2 linked regions of the Saccharomyces cerevisiae S288C genome follow. Changing the gene in region 2 together with the main gene of any one other region gives a genetic interaction. Each region holds a gene or a part of one and is shown on either strand. Other genes may lie near its edges.

The links.
Region 1: mutations in RGC1 (region 2) and MEF2 together harm fitness more than expected from each alone (negative genetic interaction), as found in Saccharomyces cerevisiae (one large-scale study listed by BioGRID).

What each region holds. Positions count from the first base shown.
Region 1 is NC_001142.9:229,247-233,002, reverse strand, and holds the start of MEF2 (mitochondrial elongation factor MEF2), read right to left. Parts: upstream 1,703-3,756; coding exon 1-1,702. Other genes in the region: GSM1 (Gsm1p), read left to right, coding at 2,122-3,756. UniProt on the Saccharomyces cerevisiae protein: Mitochondrial GTPase that mediates the disassembly of ribosomes from messenger RNA at the termination of mitochondrial protein biosynthesis. Not involved in the GTP-dependent ribosomal translocation step during translation elongation.
Region 2 is NC_001148.4:752,877-756,632, reverse strand, and holds the start of RGC1 (Rgc1p), read right to left. Parts: upstream 1,757-3,756; coding exon 1-1,756. Other genes in the region: ALE2 (Ale2p), read right to left, coding at 2,385-3,332; PIS1 (CDP-diacylglycerol--inositol 3-phosphatidyltransferase), read right to left, coding at 3,714-3,756. UniProt on the Saccharomyces cerevisiae protein: Positive regulator of FPS1 glycerol channel required for the glycerol efflux.

The DNA of each region.
Region 1 (3,756 bases), on a different chromosome or scaffold from region 2:
TATATCCATCATCACTCTCATACGTTTCTATATTTGTTTCTGAATTAATTGTTTCTTTGTAGGACACCATCAACTGACCAAATTCAACATCTGCTTTTAGGTCATTAACCAATCGATCCTTGGCAATTTCAAGGTGTAATTCACCCATACCGTTTAAAACCGTTTGGCCAGTCTCATCATTTTGAGAAATTGAAAGACTGGGATCTTCAGTAATTAAAGTGTTTAAAGCTTCTTCCATCGATTTTTTATTACTTAAAGTCCTTGGTTCGATGGAAACACCAAAAACTGGTGGGGGAATGAAGATAGAATTGATTTTTAACGTCAACTCCTTTTTTTTATCAAGTGATTTCAACCCATCCTTCTTCGACGAATGCGTTATTAGTGTATCTCCAGTAGATATGTTGTTTTCGACTGTAGAGCCAGTAAGCAATCCGATTTGGCCCGCAGTTAAAATATTTACAGGTTGTGATGTTCCCGCATGGGGTATCAGTAATTTACCCAATTTAAATTTTTCCCCAGTAGTAGAATTATAAACGGTATTGCCACTGTTTAGTGTACCTGAATAAATTCTAATGAATATTTGTTTACCCCTGATTGGATCCGTAATCACTTTGAATGCAAGAGCAATGCAAAGATTTTTGTTGTTGTTTACTAAACATCCAACTTTGGGGTCATATTTCATTGGAACGGTTTTATCATTTAGTTCTGGTAGTTCGGCTTCAATGGGCGAAGGGAGATAATTAACTATAGCATCTAATAGAGGCTGCACGCCAATATTTTTAAAAGACGCACCGCATAAGACAGGTACAATCATATTCTTCATAGTCAGTTTTCTTATTGAAGCGTTCAAAAACTGTGCGGAAACCTTGGAGTAATCGCCTTCTGCCTCCTCTAAGAAGTGCTGGACTAAATCTTCGTCGTATTCAGTCAAAGTCTCTATCATCGATTCCCTACAACGATTACACTGCTCAAGAGAAGTACCATCCAACTCATCCACGATAATTTCATCAGGATTTTCTGGATTCCAGGTTAATCGCTTCCCATTTACGACGTCAATAACACCTTGGAAAACATAATCATTGCTAGTCGGTTGTTTTCGATAGTAAGGAATGTTTACCAACACCGGTTTGGTAGTTGTTCCTCTCATAAATTTATTTATCAAGTCATTGACTGTATGGTTGAAACTCGCCCCCATACGATCCATTTTGTTGATAAAGCAGATTTTGGGCTTCGATTTACTTTGCTTCCAAACCTTCTCTGTCTGTGCCTCTACGCCGGCAACAGCGTCCAAAATGACCACGCATGAATCAATAACTTTCAAAGCCCTAATCACTTCAAAAGTAAAATCTATATGTCCCGGCGTATCAATAAGATTTATTGCAAAAGTATTTCGCCATGGGAATGAAATCGCAGCGCTTTGAATTGTGATACCTCGGGATCTCTCCTGCTCTAAAAAATCAGTTATCGTATCGCCAGTGTCGACGTCTCCAATATGCTTTGAGATTCCTGCATAATAAAGCATCCTCTCTGTTGTGGTAGTTTTACCTGCATCGATATGGGCTATAATTCCTATATTTCTAACCTTAGACAGTGGACTTCTTGCGGTCGATAAGTATCTACTTCCAACGTTAATTACACTTAATCGGTTCTTGCTAATGTTTACTCTTGCGCCCGCCCATCTGCGCACATTCCATTTCCACATAGCCTCCCTCACTTATCTTGCCCCTTTTGTATATCTCTGACTGCCGTTTTGCCACCAGAAAGCTTGTTGATCTATTTCACATTATCTTCTTTTAACCGCCCAGCCTCCGCGCCGTCGTCGTTCTCTGTGCTGATTGGTTATCTCCCCTCTCACTAAGGGAAGGCCTCAAAAATTGTCGAAATGAGAAGAGGCTGAAACGATTTACTAATCATCATAGCCTGCTTAAACGAGTTAACACTAAGGGGAAGGGTACGACTATCATTTGTTCGGATCTCTGAACCGGATATTTTCTTTGTTACACACATCAAGTTTTTGCATGAATAGATCATATTTCGAATGATTTAACGTATTACAGCTTAGCAATAAAGGGAGTAAAGAAATAATATATTTGGATACAGCATACAAGAATATATATACATATGACCAAAAAACTACCTTCAGAGTTGAAACAGACGAGAAAGTCTATCCAGACAGCTTGTGAATTCTGTCATACCAAACATATACAGTGTGACGTAGGGAGGCCATGTCAAAACTGTTTAAAAAGAAATATTGGGAAGTTTTGCAGAGATAAGAAAAGGAAATCAAGAAAACGAATTGAGAAGCATGGAACACAACCATACTTGAATTTGGGGAAGAGGCTGGTAATACATGATGTGCCGTCGAAGACGGTATCCCCCTCAAGCGTACATCTGCAGCGAGATTTTCTATCTTCAGATCAGGAAAAACCAGGCAAAACACCTGCCCACAATACGAATATCCAATATACGTATAATATAAATGATAACTTTCAAAGCGCTGGATCTATTCCACGTATTACGAACTTCAATACGAATAACCGCCAGACCGTCTTAGAAAATACTTCTAATAATATATCAGCTTCACAAGCAGTACATTTAATGAATGACCCCATCATACCCACCGTACGGAAGAGTACTCTCAATTTAAAGTCGCATTTCCTAGAGCAACATAAAGCAATGCAGCAGCCGCTGGCTACCAATTGTTTGGTTGCTACTTCAAACGTTCCTGTGCACTCTGGAATGGACGATAGTAATAAGAGTGACGATGATGTCGATGACGAAACTAATATTCACTTTGATAGTATGTGGTGCAATGACGAATACATGAAATTAAAGGATATAGTAGATATTTCAACGCCGTTTTTACCGAATAACTCCCAGATATTTTCCCTCCAAGAATCAGAATATCCCAATCCTAGCGCATCTACACGGGGAAATTCGTCATTGCATTTAACGAACCTTTTAAACTCGACAAAAAGCGTGAATGACCAAAAGGACTCCTCGATCGGCCATTCCACTTCTACTTTCAATACATATGATGAAGTAGTGTCTAGGCCCTTTATATCTTTAGACATGCTGCATTTGAATCGTGGAGCAAACGCTAATACACACCCATCACATAACGCCAAACTGGAAAGCGAATGTGACAGTTCTAGTCACTCCGATGCAGATCTGGAGAAACATGATACCGATTTCATATCACCTTCAAAGTTTCGTGAATTAGTAAAGACTCCTCAAGACCTATATGACAATAAATGTTTAATAAAACCGCATAATTACAAGCTCGCATACACCAAACTGCTAACTACTTTAAGAAAAAAATTTCTTGAAGGAGCTGAAATTGATAAATCTGCCTCAGTAAAAGACGAACACAGTACCCAAAAGCATAATTTGAGATATGATTTAGAAGTTATAATACGCTCTATACTAGAAAGATATGCTCCAATTTTCATTTCGTTAACATCCAATATGATTGAAGAGGATTTGCTATTACAGGAAGTTACCTTGCAAAGGGCTTTATTAGATTTGGAGAACATGGCAAAATTAGTAAGCTGCACACCGATGTGCATCTGGAGAAGATCAGGCGAGATTTGTTTTGTCAGTAACGAATTCTATTCTTTAACAGGTTTTAACAAAAATTTACTATTAGACCGCACCTCCTTTATTTTTGAATATCTGGATCATAAAAGCGTTTCGAATTACTTTCAAATATTTAACGAATTGCTGGCATTTGGTTACAATGATATCAATAAAAGG
Region 2 (3,756 bases):
TCGAAGAACTCAAACCCTTTCTTCTCTTCGTCAGTTTCGGATCCTGTGTCCCTTTGCTCGATGGGTGACTGCCAGCGTTAGTCCCATCCTTATTCACACGGCTAATGTCTGATTGTTCAACAACAGGTTTATTTTTTGAACGGGGAGACTTGCTGTCTAGAAAGAAATCGCTGCTTTTGAATTCGTGAAGATAATTTGTAGTCAACACAAAATAACCTTTAGTAAAACTTTTAGAAGACTCTGTTTTCTTCAGTAGATATCCTACTCTAATGCATTTGGCCAGCGGCGATTTCATGTTAGGATAAACAATATCAGATAATCTTCTGGGTTGCGGTGGCGGGTCTGTCGATTTTAAATTCATCAGACAGGTAGGATGATGAGAGACAAAATTATCCCACTCTACAGCCGGTGGTCTAGATAGAATACCTTGCTGCAATTCATGGCACAAATTTTTGATCATTAATCGTGCTTCTGAATCAATTAACGCTGAGTAGCGCTGTAATGCGGATTGAATTTTAGAATATACTATTTTCTCCAGTTGTAGTGCTGCTGATTGTAAATTCAGAAAAGCTTCTCGAAGATAGTTTTCTTCGAGTAATTGTCTTTTCAGCTGCAAATCTAGTTGTAATTTCAAAAGGTATGGATCGTGTTTTGGTTTTAATTTTTCACCTTGCTTATCGCCCGAAGTGGATGCTTCATCTAATAACTTCACTGAAGCAATATATTTATTCAGAAGCCTGCTTGTTATTTTGATATGCTCGCCTATGTTAGTCTTGAAATCTCCATTTAATTCTTTAATTTCTTTCATCTTTGTGGTCAAATCCTTACGCAAGTCGGTCAATTTGGGTATAATATATGCCAAGATTTCCTTAGAGATCTTATATTGTTGACTACCCAAAGATAAATGGTACTTCTTCAAAATCACTTGAATATCTTGAATGGATCCTGACCCAAATTTCATGAAGCCAGAAGAAGCTGAAGCTACCTCTTCCGAAGGTACTGATTGGATTGACTGCGGCTGTTCCACATCTGTGTCGTACTTGCTGTCCAATTTTTGAGCGGCCAATGGGACAGGCTGAGGTTTCTTAGTAGGCAACTTAGATATACTTGGATCAACCAGTTTGTTTGTTTCATCTTCCAAATCAGTAAGAAAAGCAAATTTTACGGCATTTTTCATCTGGTAGTTGATCCTTGCAATTTGTTCCTGAGAGTAGGCAGCTTCTCTGAAGTAAGCGATCAAACTTTTCAAGATTTTCTTCCATTTGTGAAACCTATCAATCAAAATATCTGTCGGATACTCTCTAACAAACTCCCCGGAAGTTTCGTAAATGTTCTCCACATCTAAATCAGAAGGATCAGCCCTGTTAACCTTTTGTTTAGCCCTCGCCTTACCTTCACTCTTCGGCAATTTTTTAGGTATAGGCATGTTAATATAGTAGGGTGACCTTGGGTCTGTCTTGGGTAATATATACTCGTCAAGTTTTATGTCCTTATTCTCTTTGCCATCTGGCCCGTTCATTTGCGTATTTCCAGATGCTGGCTCATTTTTCAGCGTCAATGAATCAGGAATCATATCCATCAAGTACTGGGAGTCGGCGGAATACATAGATGCCAGTTCATCGCTACTACCACCAAATGAACGATAGTTCTTCGGTAACTCCAAATTTCTAGAAGAGCTCCGAGTTGAACCTGGTGTCGCAGGCTGCTTCGAGATACCGCCATTCTCCTGCTTAGGAAACGTGAAATAGTCAGACATCTATTAATCCACTTAATTATCTCTTGTTTTTCTTCTTTTAGCACACAAAGCCATAAAAAGTAGACTAGGATAAAGAAAACAGCTTTCTTTATGATTCTTCTCTCTTTACCTGTACCGCGCCGTATTTGGCTCAATTAACCACTCTCAAACCTTAACAAAAAAATCACAAAAGCTTCCGAAAGAATACCCAATAAGCCACAGCTACTTGGACATCAATCACGGTCAAACCAACATCATCCTCTATGTAGGAGGCTTTTCGCCTTTTTATTAAGCAATGGAAAATCAGCTTGCGCGAGAACGGCGTTATCCGCATATGAAACACCTCCCCCTAAATCTCGTGATTAGAGTTTCACGTTTCATCACATGAAAGTGTGGTAGTATAGTATAATTCTGGCAAAAGTAGCATTGAAAGTGTTCAGTAGTCCTGAAGGTGGCAGAATCGCTCAGTCTAGGTAAAATTAAAGAAGAAAATGTAGGCAAAGATCCTGCCCCCCCCCCACAAAAATTCGCCATGTATCAATATTGATTTATTGCCTGTAATTTTCTAGGTTTGTAATGCTCGCATAGCTTACACAAGTTTATAGTCTATATACACATATATGCACATGTTAAAGTGTGCCTCCATGGATTATTGTTCATTCTTAGTGACTTTGTCTACAGACTCCCCCTTCTTCAAGACCTTTGCAGCCACAGACACCATGGTAGAAAACCAAATAACATTCAAGATGTCCAGGACGAAATTGCCTGCAAGGATAACAATGGTGTCAAAGACTAAGAAACCAGGTTCATTGCGCACCTGGTAAAAGTCGTAACATAGTTTTCCAATTTGAAACCACCCCCAGGCGATTCTAGCGGCAAAGAAGACGACCATGAGCGTCAAATTGTTCAACAGCAGCAGTAGAGAGCAGAATTTGCTTTTCTGGGGTAGAAATTTGATACCGAACCATCTAAAGTTCAAGGAGGGATTGGAAAGTTCGAACATCAAGAACACTGGGGCGTAATATTGGATGTACGGTTTCAATCCGATGCAAAACACGACGGTGGAGATTATTCCGTGCACAACGAAGGGGAAAGTAGAATACATGGTGGAAATATAGATATCCCAGACGAAATAACCAATAGCAAAAATACAGATGACTTGAGTGTCTCGATTTTCTGTAAACACTCGAGAGTGTGAGGTTTGGTAGGGCTCGGCCGAGGCTTTTGGATCAAGCAAGAACTTCAATGAGTAGTACAGGACCACTATGCTTTGCAGTAGGGATATTAAGTGGACTGAACTTTGATTGATCAAAGAAGTGTACTTCTTTTTGTAATGTTGAGCTTGACGTTCCGAAGTTGTCTTCTCATCTTTCTTGACGTTATGTTTTTGGTCATAGTCCAATTTCCATTTAACCAAATGTGGGAATAAGATCCATTTGCCAAAAAGAAACCAAATATGGTAGAATATAGCAACATAAAAAATTGAGTGCAAGTTGGAGAGAATCGCTTCCGACTTGATTATATTGCGATTTGCCAAGAACGGAATCACCGTGGTCTTAAATAATTCCGGTTGAGGAAGCGACAATAAAACATCCATTTTTTCTTGTAGGCAATGTTCACCTTCGTGCTTGAATTCCTTCCGGGGGGGGGGGCAGAAGCTTGAGATAGAGGAGAGGTCTTCTTCTTTTTCTTTTTGATCTGTCCAACAAACGTTTTTTCTCTCTCCTTGGCTTATGTTAAATATGCCCTCGGGAACTGCTCGAAAAAAACAGGAAAAAAACCGCGTTGAGAAAAAGTACCAACAATATGAAATTTTTCGTTTATTTGAGCATTTGTTGTGCCAAGTATAATCAAGACGATAGAGTAGGCTGCTTTTAAAGTTAAATCAACGAATGTTCCATTTCACATAAATAAAAACTACACATAAATAAAAGATTAGCGCAATTAAAAGGAGAAAAAAAGTAAGAAACTCATCCTATCAGTAAGTCTTGTTCTTCTCGTTGGCATTCTTGGCATCGTTG